Linked DNA regions of Rattus norvegicus. The protein of the gene in region 4 interacts with the protein of the main gene of each other region in a biochemical or structural test. Links are inferred from orthologs where the notes say so. Each region holds a gene or a part of one and is shown on either strand. Other genes may lie near its edges.

Region 1 (5,202 bases), on a different chromosome or scaffold from region 4:
GTGTGTGTGTATGTATAGCAACATGCTTCCCATCCAGTGCTCATATAGAGAAGTCAGAGGACCTGCAACTATATGGACTCCAGGAATTAAAATCAGGTCCTTGGCTTGAGAACAAGTACTTTACCTTGAGCCTTCTGGCCAGCCTCAGTCCTATGGATTTTATTGTTAGAGGCAGGGCCTCAGGTTGCTAACCTCAACATCACTATATAGTCAGTGATGACGTATTTCTGATCTGCCTCTCTACCTCCTAATGCTGAGATTATAGGCTTCAACCACTGTTCTAGACCTCCTATCAGTGTTGTTGTTGTTTTTTTTTTCTTTTCTTTTCTTTTTTTCAGAGCTGGGGACCAAACCCAGGGCCTTGCGCTTGCTAGGCAAGCACTCTACCACTGAGCTAAATCCCCAACCCCTAGTGTTGATTTTTTAAATTATATTTTAGTATGGGTGTTTAGCCTGCATGAATGCCTGTTTACCATCCTTGTACATGTGCCTATAGAGGTTCAGGAAGGTTTGGATCACCTGGAACTTGAATTACAGATAGTTGTGAACTACCAGATGGGTGTCCTGTGGAAGAACAGCCATCTTTCCAGCCCAAAGTTTTATTTCATTTACTTACTTTTGAGACAAAGAATTACTATGTAAACCAGGCTACACAAAGATTCCCTTGCTTCCACCTCCTGAGCTGGGATTGAAGGTGCACCACCACCAACTCTCATCACTGGTTTGACTACGGCAGCTCTAACCCTATCGAGATCTTTATCTAGATCATTACCGCCCCCTCAATTTTTTAAAAATTCAACTGTTTTTCCCAGTTGAGTCTTTTCTCCCATACTAGAGTTCTTATGTCTTCATCTCAACAAAATAAAAAGAAATAAAACACATCATTCCTTTTTCTCTGACAAAGCCAGTTTCCAAAAGCATTTTATGACGTTCCCATTTCTTTCTCTTCTCCAAACTATTGGAATGTCTGTCAACTATCACCAATCCCCAGTTATTAAATTCAAAAGATATTTCTCAGACTTCTTTTATCTCTTAAGCTATTTCTTTTAAATATTTTTTTTTTATTCCTTAGATTGCCAGCATTTTGCTTTACTCTTAGAGGTGCGTGGAAGAATTCTTGGGGCAAGTGGTTTAAAACCCTCCAGTAACTCAATGGCCATAAAAACGAATTCTAGGTTTAACATTCCAAAACCTACAAGACCTTTAAAGATCTAGTTTTCTCCTTAGTTTGATCCCCAGCCCTGGTGGTGATGGTCTCAGGGATAAAAGAGCTTTTCCTATTTCAGAGTACAATGGTTTGGGAAAGAATGGATCTCACTAGGTTGTCAGTCCGGCTTTACATTCCAGAGGTCAAGTGATCCTCCAGCCTCAGCCTCTAATAGCTTGAGGACAACACGGTATGAGCTACCATGCCTTCATTTTCTTTTGTCTCAGAAAGTGAACTCTTAAGCTTCTAACGAGAGTAAATTTCAAGAAACTTCCAGAAGGCGCCGTGTTGTTGTTCCCAAAGCCTGGAAAACTCTTATCTCGTAGACTTCCGGAGGAACTCCTACTTATCCTTCGTGACTTTAAGAGCAACTTCCTGCGTCAATCTTACAGGCATTCCTCAAGGTAAAAGTTTTGCTCATTGTTGGACAAAGGCGCCTCGGAATTTCTATGACCGTATTCTGTTAATTGAAATGTGTTTACGCATCTATTTCCCTGGTTTAAAGATGCCAAAACATCCTGTAGGCTTTGGCAGTAATTGTAGTTCAAACACTAAGACGTTCAGGGCACAGCTGCCTTCAGCGAGGATGGCTGCACGAACTCCTCCCACCTTCTCTCCAACGGGAGAACCGGTAAGGTTAACGGGTGAGTTCCCAGGATCTCCGCCTGCGTGGCAGGCGATTTAAGTCCACGCCCACCCCCTGCGGTGATTGGCTCCAGCGGTAGAGGTGTGTCTGCCCCGCGGGAGCCCTGCGAGTGCGCAGGCGCACAGATCCTCGGGGCGCCTGCGCACTCTTACGCACCCTGTCGGATCTTAAGAGAGTCCAAGAGCAGCGGGGCCCGGAGAGGAGTGGCTGGAGCAGCCGGGTGAGCCTTCTGAAAAGTAGCTGAGTGAGCTGGTCAGCGGGACAGGTAGGATGATGTCCAAGGAAAAAGAGGGTGTGGTGGTGGTTCAACGTTTTGGGGGTCGGACTGGAGGGGAGAAGGGAGCTCCGGCCAGTTCTCGGTGATTGGGCCGAGAACGAAATCGCCAGGCGTTGGCGACCAGCGCGAATCCCGCACAGGAAGGGAGGCGCTATGGTGGTGCCTTGGACTTGTGTAGATAGGCTCTTCATCCCTCACCTCCAGCCTCACGGCGTTTCTCGTTAGTATTAACAGACTGTCTGGTGGCCTTAATGAACACATAGTTCTGAAATAGTTGTTAGAAGAATGACCCCGAGGCTCCTGGCGTGGCAGACTTCACTGTCTAGGAAAATTCCCTGCTTACCTTGAGTCTTCCCCATGGGGAAGCACCAAGAATATGGTCAGGCAAGAGCAATTTTTTTTTCCCCAATTCGGTTTGTGTGTGAGAAAAGTATCTTAAAGTACTGTTACACTTCTTTCCTTCGTTCTTTATCATTAGTCACTCCACTACTAGGAAAAACAAACTGGTGGTAGAGGAAGCGAAAAACATCCGAGTTGAGGAAAAAGATCTTTCCCTTTTGCTGTTTGTCATCTGGGTAGGTTTGGGCTGGGGGCAGGGATGGTGATTGAAGGAGAGTTCAGAAACTGACAGCTTTTTGACAGAGTGTTCTCAGCCTTATGAAAATAGTATAATTTCTTACTTAAAGATATTTTAAGGATTGAAATAACTTCATCTGCCCTGCTGCCTTTTAAGAGGGTTTTGAGATGTCCAAGTAAAATGCTAATAGTTCAGTCATAGCAAGATAAAAACAGATCCTTCTCACATTCTTTTTATTTTTCTTGGAAAATACTACGCTTAAATTCTGTGAGGCTCTGGGCAGTGGTGTGCACACCTTTAGTCCCAGCACTTGGGAGGCAGAGGCAGATGGATATCTGTGAGTTTGAGTCAGCCTGGTCCAGTAAGGCAATACTTGTTAAAGCACCTTTTTTTTTTTTTTTTTTTTTTTTTTTAAAGAAATGATCTCACTATATAGCTCAGGCTGGCCTGGAACTCAGTCTCTCAAGTGCTGAAATTAAAGACATGCACACTCACACCCTCCCCCCACAATGCTTCTGGAATAGGTCATATTAAAGTAAGTTAAATGGTTAAATTTAGCCTTTACCTTAAATAATTATCATTCTCAGTAGGACCTTTTGTTTTATTTTGATTTTTAGGTGGCTTCTTTTTGGGTGGGGTCCCCTTTCTACATTGTAGCAACTTATAAAACCAAGTGAAATTGGGCCAGAATTGGGAGTGAGTGACTAGAGTTCCAGGTGAGAGTCCAGTGACACCCCATCTTCTATCAGGGAACATCAACAGGCCCATCCAGAGAGTCTTTTGTGAGTAATTCCAGTTGTTCTGATTAAGATGGTAATGGTTATTTATGCTCTGAGAACAGTGTTCCATAATAACATATTTAATACTTCTGAGGCGGTTATATAGGCCAGCCCCAGTGACCTCACGAAACCCCATCTCAAAACAACAATCAAACAATAGACATATATTAGTTCTTTCAGTCTCTTAGTTCTCTCAGTCTGGTGGTGGTTTGCGATATGAGCTCTCAGCTATTGCTCAAGCTTCCTCTCTTCCTGCTGCCTTGCTCCTTGGCCATGATGGTCAAATAAATGCTTTCTTCTGTAAGTTGCTCTGCTTACAGTCTTTTGCTCCAGCAATAGTAAAAGTGTACCAAGACAGAAGCTAGTACTGTTTAGACGAGGATAATGGGGTTTAGTGCATGGCCAAATGCATGAATATTCTAGATACCATATTAGAAATGAAATGTAGCTCCAGTGTGATGATGGATGCCAATAGGCCAGACACCTAGAAGGTTGGCACAAGGGATCAGGAATGCAACACCAACTTGTTACGTAGGATTTGAATTATTTTTATTACAGATAGTTATTTGTAGGGAGGGGTGTGCCTTGGTGTGGACTTGGAGGTTGAGGACAACTTTGGTGGATTGGTTCTCTCCTATCGTGTGGTTCCCGGTTGATTGAATTCAGATTAACAGGCTTGTATTGTTGGATGGTAAGCTCTTGCTTACCTGCTGAGCCATCTTACCAGCCATATGCAGAGAGTTTGAGACCAGCCTGGACTACTTGAAGCTCACTCACTCCCCACCCCATAAAAAATGGAATATACTAGTAAAATATAGTTCTAGAGGGAATCTAAATCAAGTTATTTTGCCTGCTGACTTATGATCTATATCTGAAGTTCTGGCTTTTTTTTTCTTTAATAAATATTTTATGTATGTTCTATCTGCATGTACACCTGCATGCCAGAAGAGGGGCACAGATCATAGTATAGATGGTTGTGAGTCACCATGTGGTTGCTGGGAATTGAACTCAGGACCTCTGGAAGAGTAGGTAGTGCTCTTAACCACTGAGCTACCTCTCCAGCCCCTGATTTATTTTCTTGAATCCATTCCTTACCATTTCTCTTTGGGTTCTAGAAGTAAACAGTGCATAGGTATGTTGCACATATACTTGTACATTTGTAGCAGAGATTCTCAACCTTCCTAATGCTGTGATCCTTTCATACAGTTCCTTATGTTGTAGTGATCCCCCCACCATAGAATTATTTCATCGCTACATCATAACTAATTTTGCTACTATTATGAATCATAATGTAAATATCTGATATGCAGGATATCAGATATACAACCCCCAAGGGGTCTCAACCCAAAGATTGAGAACCACTGATCTAGAGCTTAGAATGAAGGCACTCATGGCATTGAATGTCTTCTATCGGTTAAGGATGATCGACAAGACTTCATCTTACCTAAAGTGTATGTACCCAAACTACCCAAGGCCTTGGCTGATTCCAAGTTTATGTAGGAGTTTCCTGATTTTCTGCTCAAACGTTCGATACTAGGAGTCAGGACTGCAGGTAAAGACCGTGACTTAGCATGAGTGTCAGCACTCTGGCATGGCGCAGCGCACACCTATAATCACAGCACTCAGGAAGCCGCAGCAGGGGGATTGAAATGCAAGGCAAGTCTGGATTACATAGGAAGACTATCTCAAATCATCATCATCAAAGAAATAATATTC
Region 2 (5,072 bases), on a different chromosome or scaffold from region 4:
ATCTTGGATCTTCCCTGGGCATCAGTTCCATCACACCAACCCCTTTCATTTATGCTCAGACATAGACATGAAATCACAGCTCTTGGCTCTGCAGCTCCTTCTCGGATGCTGCAGGTGTTCGGCTGAATCCAGACATACGTTTCTGGAAAACAGAAATGACAGCAAGGCTCCCTCAGAGCCAATTCTTCTAAGTGGCTCTGCCTGGGACTCCTGAGTTGGATCTGAGGACTGTGGACTGCGTTTCCTGAGGACCCAAGGGGCCAAGGAGTCTTAGAGCCAGCCACATGGGGACACCTTTGTCCACCAGTACTTCTAACAAAGAATGCCACAGGCCAGTGAAAGATAATGGCTGGAGGATCACGGTCCTGGAAGCCGAGAGTCTACGGGAGTTAGGGGCATCAGCAGCGCCTTCTTGTCTTCCTGAGACATGGTAAGAGAGGCCTAAAAGGTGGAACTCGCTTTTGTAACAACCTGCTCCAGCGACAAGGACATTGGTAGGAGCCACGCCTCATAATCACCCTGACCTCTGAAGTGTCTTGTTCAAGGCATAGTAAACGACACTTAAAGGCATCCCAGGAGCTGAGTAGCCAGGCAGCCCACATGCCTCGGAGTCCCAAGACTTTTGTTTTCTCAACCAGAATCTCAGGGAAGGAATCTGATTGGCTAGCCTAGGTCACATGGTCAGACTGGCCTGAGGTGATTGGATCATTATGAATAAATACGGCAGCTGGAGCCTACAACTGAGGACACTGTGGTCACGAAAGAAGCTAGCATGTTTGTCTGTCTTGCCTGAGTTGGCAGTCTACATATCCTGATTCTGGAGCAGGCCCTGTCTTCCACCTCCCGTTCTCTCCGCCCTGGAGGGTACAGCCTACCTCTACCTGAGGCCACAGTTCTCCCTAATGTGGTCAGACCCGGCCAGAATGGAGATAATCATTCAAGACAAGCCTACCACTGTGCGGGAGGCTCAAACTGAGTCGGTCACCTTATGGAGGAGAAGCAGGGGTGGCCGTGAAGTATTCCCGCGAGGAGGATACATGGTGCTGGGTAATAGGTTGCATGCGAGGGGCTGAAGGCCATGCACCTCACACCGGGCATCCGGGGTAGATCCCAGGCACAACGCCCATGCCATGGCTTTTGCTTATCTCCTATGTGGGGCCCATGGAGCAGCACTTCTTTCCTATGTTCCAGTTTGTTCTGAGGGTTCCATAAGTTTAGTTGGTGTCGTTTTACTGGACAGCTTCTATAGAATATTCTAGAAAAAAAGTTGACACAGAAGAAAACAAATTCCATGACCATCTATTTCCACATTTAGGGAGCAGAACCTTAAATAGGACATCTGAGGAAGACTTCCAAATCCACCTTCCTTGCTATAAAATATAGGGCTCCTCTCTCTGCTCTGACATCGTTTGTTTGGTTGTTAAATAACATTTCTGCAAGTTTATAAGGAGGGTGGAGAACAATATCAGCTAGAATAAACTTTAATTTTGTACATTAAAGAAAAGATCAGCCCGTTCCCTGACTCCCAACATGCCCAAGCACTGTGCCACCCGGCTCCTCTTTTCCCTTTGATAAAATTATGGAACACCCTGCCCATCGCCACAGCTGTCCCGACACAGCCCATCCTGCATGTCTCTGCATCGGCAGGCCAGTGCCATGCTGCATGGACTCACGGCAGTCACTCTGGCTGGGGATGCTCTGCGGTTGCAGGCACTGCCTGGGTCCCAGCGGCTTCCCCCTGCTTGTTGCCCCCTTGCTGACAGTCCAGCCTGGTGTAGCCTGCCCATTCACCTCCCTGCCCTTCTTGTTCTCTGTTCTGCAGGCTCTGCGGAGAAAGCCTTTAGGAGAAGACTCATAGCAGAGAACTATTAGGTAAGATAAGGAGCCAGGTGACGAATCGCACCCTGTCAGACCTGAAAGCTGACTTTGCCACAACTTGACAAGCCAAAGGAGACTGGCCCCATCGGGTAGATGGGAAAACTGAAGTGCAGAGCAGTCATGGGGATGGCTCAGTTGGTAAAGTACTTGAACAAAGCATCAACATGAGACTCTGAGTTTGATTTCCAGCACCAATGAAAAAGACCAGGCACCCTGGCACTAGGAGGAGTAGAAATAAAAGGACTGCTGGCACTTGCTGGCTGCTGGTGTAGCTGAAAGAATCATGTTCTCTAGGTTCAGGAGAGACCACGTCTCAAGTGACCACAACTGGGGGCCCTAGAGGTGGAGTCCCAACAGCTTCTGTTGGCATCTCTGTGTGTTCTCAGATGTGCTTGTGCTTCCCACACTCAGCTAGGTGTGGGGGTGCACACTTGTAATCTCAGCACTGGGGAGGCAGACACAGGAGGATCCCCAGCCGGTCTAGCCTATACCTTGAGTTCCGGGCTAGCAAAAGACATGGTCTCAGAAATAATGGACAGATGCTGAGGAATGCTATCCAAGGTTGACCCCTGTCCCATATAAATGGGACACACACACAAGACAGAATCAGCAGGAGTCGTTAAGTCCTAGTACTAAGTAGGACTATAACCCACTCTGTCCTTCTACAACAATCCCAGGCCGCAAAGCTGCTGTCCACGTGGACTGGAGCTGACATCGCACGCCTGCCCGCCAGGATCCCTGCTGCCAAGTTCGTGCTCCGAGACATGGCGACTGACAACAGCAAGGTGGCTGATGGGCAGATCTCTACCGAGGTCAGCGAGGCTCCTGTGGCCAGTGACAAGCCCAAAACCCTTGTAGTCAAGGTGCAGAAGAAGGCTGGAGACCTCCCTGACCGGGACACATGGAAGGGACGCTTCGACTTCCTCATGTCCTGTGTGGGCTACGCCATCGGCCTGGGCAATGTATGGAGGTTCCCTTATCTCTGCGGAAAGAACGGTGGTGGTAGGTGGCCACCTGGTGACCTCGGGACCAGGTCTTTGCGTCTTCTGGGTCTACCTTGAGGGAAGGGAGGATCTTTGAGGGTGGGCCCTATTTGTCACCCCTTGCCCTCTCTTCAAGAGTCAGTCGCCAAGGACAGTTGTCTGTAGCAGTGATGTCAGAACTTTGGTATCTTTTGCAAGAGCTGGGACGCAATTTGAATGAAGCATGCTTTTAAGGCTAGCCCTGGATACTGCTTTCCAGGCAGGACACATGGGAATGGTATGTGGAACCTCAAAGCTGCTGGGAAGACTCAGGATCATGAGTGTGTCTCTCTTCCCTAGGGGCCTTCCTAATTCCATATTTCCTGACGCTCATCTTTGCGGGTGTTCCTCTCTTCCTTTTGGAGTGCTCCCTAGGCCAGTACACCTCCATTGGGGGCCTGGGCGTATGGAAGCTGGCTCCCATGTTCAAGGGTGAGTGGGGGACCTGGGCATGTGGAGGGGCCTTACCCAAGGTCCTTGGGAGCAAAGGAAGTCTTGAGCCCGTTTCTAAGAATGCCTCAGCAAGCCCTGTGCGTGTTCCACCTCAGGTGTGGGCCTCGCGGCAGCTGTGCTGTCCTTCTGGCTGAACATTTATTACATTGTCATCATCTCCTGGGCCATCTACTACCTGTACAACTCCTTCACCACGGTGAGTGGCTGCTGGTCAGGGCCTACCTAGGCTGTGGGAATCTACAGTGTGCTTACTGGGTCAGTCCTTGAATGAGGAGTGAGGGGTGTAGGTCGTCTCCTACAGTGTTTTCCCCAACCAGCCACGCTGAGAGCTGCAATCTAGCGCCTCAGGCATCCCACAACTGGATCCAATTGCCATTTTGTGTGAACTCAGCTGGTGCGGGTTTGAACGCTAACTCTACTGTCTATCAGCTGTGCAACTTCAGGAGCCAGCCTTAACTTCTCTGAGACCTCACCGACCCCATTTATAAATGTGATCCACAGAAGCAAAAGCAGGGTCTCAGACACATTGGGGTCTATGCCCATATGTTCACAGCATCATGTCTTATAAGAGCCATTCAAAAGCAATCCTGGGTCCCCAGGGAACACATGTGACTGAGCACACGCGTGTGTGGTGGAGTATTATTTGGCCTTAAAAAAGGAAGAAACTCTGGCCCATGTACTATGGGTGTGAAAGACGTTTGAAGATGCTAAGGCCATCACAGAAAGTGGATGCTGTGCGATTCTGCCTGCGTGTGCTTCTTAAAGTGGTCAGATTCAAGGAGACAGAAGGCATCATGGGGGAGCCTGAAGGATGAGGAGTTAGTGAGTAAAAGAGGCCAAGGTCCTAGTAAGAGCTACTGTGCAAAGCTGTGTGTACTCCGTGCTGCTCAGCAGCACACTGGGGTCACGGGGTGGACACAGTATGGCTTGGGAGCTAGTTCTTGGAGGGGCAAGAATTCACACTTGGGTGGTGTAGTCTTGTCTACCTGTCTCTGAGAGCTCTTGGGAAGAAGAGGTGGAAAGATGGTTGTGAGCAGGTGCGTGGGGTGACGAGAGTGGGCTGTGTGAGTGGAGTCCTCTCTGGACAGCCCCAGGGACTGAGCAGGCTCTGTCTGTGACTCTGCCTTTGCAGACTCTGCCGTGGAAACAGTGTGACAACCCCTGGAACACTGACCGCTGCTTCTCCAACTATAGCCTGGTCAACACCACCAACATGACCAGTGCCGTGGTGGAATTCTGGGAGTGAGTGGGGGATGGGCTGGGGCTGGGCTGGGGCTGGGCTGGGGCTGGGATGGGGATAGGGAGTGTGTGCCAGCTGGGTGGCAGCAGGTAATGTGAATTTTCCTTCAGCCATTCACTCCTGAATACCTACTGTGTGAGATCCGAAAATGCCAATAGACAATGACAGCAGCAGGCAACTCATATTGGCAGGAAGATGTGCAGGGTAGGGGAGGTGGCCTGCACCAGCCTGCAGGAGAATGTGGCTGCTTACCATGACATGCAGGGTCGGGGAGTCAGTGGTACTGAGTCAGTGGGAAGGAGTATGTGTGTAGGCACAGTGAGGGGGGCAGCTACAGAGAGTGCCCAGTGAGGGGCTGTGCTGAGAGGCAAGGGTGAACTGTGGACCTTGGGAAGTCTCAGTCATCTGTTCTCCAATCTCAGACAAGAGGGTCCTGTGTGCTACAAGGTCTCAGGCAGGAAAGTGACCTACCTAGGACT
Region 3 (4,402 bases), on a different chromosome or scaffold from region 4:
GAACTCCTGATCCCCTCAAGAGCTACTTTAGACTTCCACCCTGGCCCGAGTCACATGCGTGAGGGTAAGATGAGGGCGTGGACTAGGTCATAGTCTGCGGTAGCAGTTAGACTCCATGCTGTGTTCAGTTTACTGGTGGGGGTACTAACAAGATGTCCTGGTTATTAACTTATTCTCTGTGTTCTTTCAGTCAGTACAAAAACTAGGAAAACACTCACCTAAGCAAAGTCAGAGGACAGAGACTCGCTTCCGACACCTGCTTTTTATTTTTATCTGAGAAGTCAAGGTCAGAGGTCTTGCTACTCTGTGTCCCTTGTCATAACTATTCCCTAGCCTCTCTTGGCATGGAAAAACAATTTATTGATGGTCCTTACCCTTGGGTAGGAAACTGATTTCTTGTTTTAGACTCCTGAATATATTTATAAACATGTAGAGGTACAAGTACTTTCAAAGCCTGAATTAAAGTATTCTAAGTTTGTTGATGTGACACAATTATCCCACATTTTATGTAATAACATTGTGCTAAATGTTTTAAAAGATTACTTCATATAACTAACATTACCAAATGCACATAAAAGATAAATTATACTTTAGCCACCTCTAAAATGATCAGAAACTAAAAACATAAAACCAAAAATCATAGTAACATTTACAAATTTAGTGTTAAAGTAGTACTGAGTAATAAAAGAATAAAAAGCATAAAATTCCGTGTTTCACTCTAGACAATATATGCTGTAACTGTAGCTAAAAGGAGATGTGTGTTTTTGAAACACATTCTGAAGTGCGTGGGAGAGGAGGCGGCATAGGACGGGAAGGGTGAGCATAGAGAGGTGGTGAAGGAGTCATGGGGACCCTTGGACTCCCCCATTCTGAAGGAAGCAATTCTTTGCTATGCCCACTGCAGACGTGACCCTCATCTCAGGCTTCCCTCTACCAACTCAACATCAACAGCAGATCCCACGCCCTGTTGTAAAACTAAAAATGTCTCCAGACATGGTACATATCCTGAGACAGGCAACATCATCCTTACTTGATAATCACTCATTTAAAATCTATGCTCTCAAGTTTTCAAGAACCTATGAACTTCTGTAAAGAGTGAACTTTAAACATACTTGTGATTTTTCTTTAAGTCTGTTTGCCTTTTGGGGGCGTTGCTTTTTTATTATATGGCCATTCTGATGCCAATCACCATGTACTCAGTAGTAGAAGAGATTCTGGAAGATCTACAGTAAAAGTGACAATGCCTAGTTCTTTAGTTAGAACGAATGGTGTCCTGTCGACCTGTCTACTCTGAATACCCCATGAAAAGGATCTTGTCCCACTGTGACTTCCGATACTTTCCATGTAACACTGCGAGTCATACAGTCTTTGTGCAACTCAATGACTCTAATTATTTACATTGCTTTATTCCTCTATATCCTAAGAATTTAACTACTCAAAAATATTAACTAAACAGAAAAATGAAGACAAAACATTTATTTAATTTATCCCTGCATTAACAAGTATGGTCTTAAAATGATGCAAAAATAAAGTCTTTTAAGTAACAATAAAGTGACACTATGATCCGAGAAGAGAAAAATCCAACGTGAGGATGAAAGGAAGCAGGACCCTCAGGCTTTAGAGAAGACGCCCACGAGCCACATTAAATGTAGATCCTGACTGAGACCGTGGGAAGGCCTAGTGCTACGCATTACGAGGTAACATATAGAACAGACCTACATTCTTGCAACTTACTTTAAACACGGTACATTATCTCGAAGCCCGTCCGATGAGCTGCTGCTGGTAGACGGATGAGACTGAGGGGGGATGGGCTGAGAGGTGGAGCTGCCCACGGGAGTGGACAAAGGGGGTGGCTGCTCACCCTCCGGCGTTTCCACATCATTTATTTCATATAACAGTCGGACTTCAAGCATCTGTCATAAAAAAAATGGCTGTTTACCTATTACTAATAGTTAATACTCATTGTATTATAACGTACCAGAAAAAATATTTTTAAAAGTTAAAAAAAAGAAAAAAAGCTATATTTAAAAGTAAAACAAGAGTTTTGACTAAATTTTTAAAAACTTGTGTACATAGATATGAGTTCACATATGTACCCACATAAGCATCATGGCTATAGAATATATTGGATACCAATAAGTTGATATTCCTTAAGTAAAAGATATAATACCCTTAAAGATTCAGATAATCCATTAAATTAGTGCTATTTTTCATAAAATATGTGGTGATTTAAATACTAATGTGCTTCCAAAATTTTTATACAAAAGCAACTGCAAACTGTTTACTAAACAGTTTTTAAAAGCTTAAAAATATCAGACAATTGATACGAAGATAGTTCTGAGGTGATTACCGGGATGACTTCTGTAACCACTTCCTGCTTGCTGAATCTATAAATGATGACATGAGCCGACACTCCGGCTATGCACAGCATTCTGCTCTCTGGGCACCAGGAGATGATCTGAATGGCATATGGATCTTCATCTACAATGTCGGTGTTCTGTCTGTCATCTTTATTTCTTGACTTTTCAAATACTTTAGATGTTTTTAATTTATACAGTACTTGTAGAGTTACTAGAAAAAAGTATATTACAAATTTTAGTTGAAAAATCAAAAATTGCTAATTCTTCTCTGCCACCGCTTTCAGATACTTCTTGCCCATCGCCATTTCTCTGTGACTGGCTCCCTGCAAACCATTAATCTCTCTTTATCAGTGACCTAGAATCTTCATACTTTGCTGCGATTTAGGAAGCCATAGGTTCCACAAATGGCTAGAACCCAGAGTGGGCAACAGCAGGCAAAGAATGGAACAACCACCCAGGACAAGATCAAATATCTACACCAAATAGCCGCGCTTTAAGAGTCATGACTCTAGATACCTAGACTCTGGTGTAAAATCACCAACATGAGCAACCAAGACAATATGCCTCCGTTAGGAGCTAGCAACCCTAGTGTAGCAGACACCCAGGAAAAGAATTTAACTGCAGCATAATACAAGGATGTAAAAATAGCAATTCTGAAAATGTTCAAGGCCATTAAAGAGGAACTGAATAAGTGCTTTAATGAAGGCTGACGATACAAATGGTTCAATGAAACAATGAAAGCAATCCACGACATGAAAGTAGAATTTATCAAAACTAATGAAAACTAATGAAATGCAAGCAGAAATAAAACTCAGGAAGTCAAATTAAAATCTTACCTACAGATAAAAATGGAATAAATAATTTCAGGTCTTGAAGACAAATTAAAAAAACTGGATGGTTCAGTAAAAGAAAATATTAAATCTAAAAAAGAAAAATCCATAACCAGAACATCTAGGAGATCTGAAATACTGTGAGAAGAAAAAAAAATCTAAAAATAATAAGAGTAGTGATAGGAGAAGAAACCCAGATCAAAGGCACAGAAAATATCTTTAACAAATCCATAGAAAAAAAATTTACTCAATCTAAAGAAAGAGATGCCTATCAAGGTATGGGAAGCATACAGAACACCAGATAGACAGGGCCAGAAAAGAAATTCCCCCAACACACAGTACTCAAAACAATAAATGTATAGAACAAAAAAGGGCATTAAAAACTCCAAAGGAAAATGAGCAAGTGACACAAAGGCAGGTATGTGGGAATAACACATGACTTCTCAGTGGAGACTCTGAGAACTAGAAAGCTCTGAGACTATAATCTCTGAGAGACTACAGATGCCAAACTAAACCACCACATGCACCAAAATATCACAACTGATAGAGAAAGAAAAGTCATTCTATGATAAAAACAAAATCAAGTAATTATTGTCCATTAATACAACCCTGCAAAAAAACACTACAAGAAAAGTTTCAGTCTGAAGAGAAGGTTAACAGTTTCTAAGAGGATACTGGAATAAACAACACTAGAACAGTTCATCAAAGGAAAAAACAAAGAAAGAAGCTTTGCTGCTACTACAGCAAAATAACAGGAACTTACAGACAAATCACTGATAGCTCTCAATAGTAATGGTCTCAATTCCCCAATAAAAAGACATAGGTTAAGAGAATGGATTAGAAAATATGATCCATATTTCTGATGCATCCAAGAAATACATCTCACCATCAAGGATAGACATTACCTTAGGGTAAAAGGATAGAAAATGTATTCCAAGAAAATGAACCTAAAAAAGCAAGCTGGTATAGTCACATCAATATCTTACAAAATAAGATTTTAAACCAAAATTAATCAGAAGAGATATGAAAGGACATTGCCTGTGAATTAAAAAAAAACCCTAATGTTCAGAAACAATTCCACAGACAAAAAAAAAATCACATATTGAACCTCATACAGAGATCGTTGGGGTAGGAGACTTCAATGCTATAATCTTGCCAGTAGACAGGGCATCCTGGAGCTCAAAGATGCCATAAATCAAATGGATCTAACAG
Region 4 (3,129 bases):
GTGTAGCTGTCTGTGTCTGTCTGTGTCTGTGTGTCTGTCTGTGTCTGTGTATCTGTCTGTGTGTCTGTGTATCTGTCTGTGTCTGTGTGTCTGTGTCTGTGTATATGTCTCTGTGTATCTGTCTGTGTGTCTGTGTATCTGTGTCTGTGTGTCTGTGTCTGTGTATATGTCTCTGTGTAGCTGTCTGTGTCTGTGTAGCTGTCTGTGTCTATGTAGCTGTCTGTGTCTGTCTGTGTATCTGTCTGTGTCTGTGTGTCTATGTCCATTTGTGCTCAAAGGAGAGAGTTTCTGGCTTGGTGACATCAGCTTTTATCCCCTAAGGCACCTCCCCTTCTGGTCCTTGGACTACTGTCCTCTTGGCTCTCATTCCCAAACGATGAGGCTGTATGACAGTATTCAGTCGACATTGTGCTGGAGATCAAATGTGGGCCCTCCCAAAACCGAGTCACATCTCCACCCCAGCCCTTCGCTTTTGTTTTGAGGCAGGGTCTTCCTCTGTAGCCTTGGCCTCAGACCTGTGGCAATCCTCATCGCTGAGAGCTGGAATCACAGGGGCAAACCACCATGTTTGCCTTCGTTGACGTGGATTTTACCGTTGACTTTTTAGTTTTGGTTTTGTTTTGTTCTTTTGCCTTTGTGAAATAATCTTGCTGTTTAGCCCAAGCTAGACTTTGAACTCGGGATCCTGTCTGGGTCTCCTCGGTGCTAAGATTTTAGCTGTTACCACACCTGGCTTTGTCGAGGTTTTGTTATTGTTTGTTTGTTTGTTTGTCTGTCTGATTTGGTGATGGTCTTCAGGGACATTGTGTGTTTATGATTTCTTTTACCTTTATAAAAAAGGGTTTTGCTGGGCTGGAGAGATGGCCTCAGTGGTTAAGAGCACTGACTACAGCACTGACTGCTCTTCCAGAGGTCCTGGGTTCAAATCCCAGCAACCACATGGTGGCTCACAACCATCTGTAATGGGATCCGATGCCCTCTTCTGGTGTGTCTGAAGACAGCTACAGCTATATATAATAAATAAATAAATAAATAAATAAATAAATAAATAAATAAATATTTTTTTTTGGTTCTTTTTTTTTTTCGGAGCTGGGGACCGAACCCAGGGCCTTGCGCTTCCTAGGTAAGCGCTTAAATATTTTTTAAAAAGAAAAAGAAAGGAAGAAAGAAAGAAAGAGAGAGAGAGAGAAAGAAAGGGTTTTGCTATGTAGCCCAGGCTAGTCCTGAATTCCTGATCTTCTTGCCTCAATCTCCTGAGTGTTAGGCTCACAGATCATGCCTGGCTAGACCAAAGGTTCTAGGGGTAGGTGTGTTATGAGCAGTGGGCAGGTCTGAGAAAACTGTGCCAGGTTCTCCTGAGAAACCCTGAGGAGAAGACATCAGACTTAGGCTGAGATCCAACATGGTTGTAAGTCTTGTGGGACAGTGTCACACTCAAATGAAAGACATGGGATCCGAAGAGGACTGTGGGGGCTGGGCAGAGAGTTTCAGCATCTGAAGACAGCAGACATGAGCTTTCTGGAACTGTCCCCCAACCACTGAGGCTTGCCCATGCTCTTCTGGTAAGCTTTGGCCAAGGAGAAGTACAGACTGTGACCCACCCACTCCTGCCCTGCCTTTGCCTGGCATTGTCCATTTCCTAGGGTCACAGCTGACTACCCCCTCTGCATGGTCCTCAACCTTGTCTGAGACTGCATGGCCAATTCTACACCCCAGGATGGCTGCTCTTTGGGACGGGTGGGAGCTGCTCCTGGCATGTTGTACTCAGGCCTAGTGGCACAGGTGAGAAGCTACGTGCCCTCCTCACACAACTCTTCTCTCCCTCTCTCTCTCTCTGACTTCAGAGTACTTTCCTCAACCCCTACCCTGCACCCTCTCCTGGTCCTGAGGAGGGAGGCCTGGACCTTGGGTGCCCCTGGCCCTGCAGGGGGAGATGATTGACAGGATCGAGTACAATGTGGAACACGCTGTGGACTACGTGGAGAGGGCCGTGTCTGACACCAAGAAGGCCGTCAAGTACCAGAGCAAGGCACGCAGGGTCAGTGGCCAGCTCCGCCTAAACTCATACCCCAGAGAACCCCCAAGCTGTGGGATCCTCCTCCCCTCCTACTTGTCCCATTTTCAGAACCTCCAACCATAGCCTTCACTTCTCCATCAACACTCCATTCTAGGCCATTCCTGATACTAGTCCGGCCCTCCAGAATCCAGCGCTTATTTTACAGATTTTTGGTTGTTTTGTTTTAATTTGTTCCATATTGGGGTTCCATATTGCGGATGGAACCCAGGATCTAGGAAATGCTAGACCAAAGCTCCACCACTGAGCCCCGCCCCCAGCCCCTCACTGGGGGATTCTAGGCAGGGGCTCTACCACTGAGCCCCGCCCCCAGCCCCTCACTGGGGGATTCTAGGCAGGGGCTCTACCACTGAGCCACGCCCCCAGCCCCTCACTGGGGGATTCTAGGCAGGGGCTCTACCACTGAGCCACGCCCCCAGCCCCTCACTGGGGGATTCTAAGCAGGTGCTTTACCTCTAAGCCACGCCCCCAGCCCCTCCCTGGGGGATTCTAGGCAGGGGCTCTACCACTGAGCCACGCCCCCAGCCCCTCCCTGGGGGATTCTAGGCAGGGGCTCTACCACTGAGCCACACCTCCAGCCCCTCACTGGGGAATTCTTGGCAGGGGCTCTACCACTGAGCCACGCCCCCAGCCCCTCACTGGGGGATTCTAGACAGGGGCTGTACCACTCAGCCATGCCCCCAGCCCCTCTCTGGGGATTCTAGGCAGGGACTCTACCACTCAGCCCCAGCATGAGCCCTCATTCCAGTCTCTCCCACTGCTCTTCTGAGGCCTTCCTTTTGTGTCCCTGCAGAAGAAGATCATGATCATCATTTGCTGTGTGATTCTGGGCATCATCATCGCCTCCACCATCGGGGGCATCTTTGGATAGAAACCACCCCACCCACGGCTCCATTCTGGATGGGTCTCCCTGAGGAGGCCCCTGGCTGCTGCACCTAGCTGGGTTGCCCTCCCCACTCCTGCCTTCTGGCTGGGAGTCCTTTTCCCTCCCATCCAACACCGCTCCCTCTCTGCCATGAGGCTCCCGTCCCCACCACCCTGCCCCAAGCCGTGTC

Evidence for each region.
Region 1: the proteins of Stx1a (region 4) and Snap23 form a complex in vitro, tested with the Homo sapiens proteins (3 studies listed by BioGRID). The link is inferred for Rattus norvegicus from reciprocal best matches to the Homo sapiens genes STX1A and SNAP23.
Region 2: the proteins of Stx1a (region 4) and Slc6a1 form a complex in vitro, tested with the Homo sapiens proteins (2 studies listed by BioGRID). The link is inferred for Rattus norvegicus from reciprocal best matches to the Homo sapiens genes STX1A and SLC6A1.
Region 3: the proteins of Stx1a (region 4) and Stxbp5 form a complex in vitro, tested with the Homo sapiens proteins (2 studies listed by BioGRID). The link is inferred for Rattus norvegicus from reciprocal best matches to the Homo sapiens genes STX1A and STXBP5.

Annotation. Positions count from the first base shown.
Region 1 is NC_086021.1:127,965,872-127,971,073, forward strand, and holds the start of Snap23 (synaptosomal-associated protein 23), read left to right. Parts: upstream 1-2,014; 5' UTR 2,015-2,118; intron 2,119-3,097; exon of another isoform or gene 3,098-5,202. UniProt on the Homo sapiens protein: Essential component of the high affinity receptor for the general membrane fusion machinery and an important regulator of transport vesicle docking and fusion.
Region 2 is NC_086022.1:149,020,701-149,025,772, forward strand, and holds the start of Slc6a1 (sodium- and chloride-dependent GABA transporter 1), read left to right. Parts: upstream 1-1,818; 5' UTR 1,819-1,872; intron 1,873-2,555; 5' UTR 2,556-2,642; coding exon 2,643-2,880; intron 2,881-3,200; coding exon 3,201-3,332; intron 3,333-3,448; coding exon 3,449-3,549; intron 3,550-4,485; coding exon 4,486-4,595; intron 4,596-5,072. UniProt on the Homo sapiens protein: Mediates transport of gamma-aminobutyric acid (GABA) together with sodium and chloride and is responsible for the reuptake of GABA from the synapse. The translocation of GABA, however, may also occur in the reverse direction leading to the release of GABA.
Region 3 is NC_086019.1:6,050,728-6,055,129, forward strand, and holds part of Stxbp5 (syntaxin-binding protein 5), read right to left. Parts: intron 2,572-4,402; coding exon 2,351-2,571; intron 1,914-2,350; coding exon 1,735-1,913; intron 1-1,734. UniProt on the Homo sapiens protein: Plays a regulatory role in calcium-dependent exocytosis and neurotransmitter release. Inhibits membrane fusion between transport vesicles and the plasma membrane.
Region 4 is NC_086030.1:27,279,566-27,282,694, reverse strand, and holds part of Stx1a (syntaxin-1A), read left to right. Parts: intron 1-1,844; exon of another isoform or gene 1,845-1,927; coding exon 1,928-2,038; intron 2,039-2,867; coding exon 2,868-2,945; 3' UTR 2,946-3,129. UniProt on the Homo sapiens protein: Plays an essential role in hormone and neurotransmitter calcium-dependent exocytosis and endocytosis.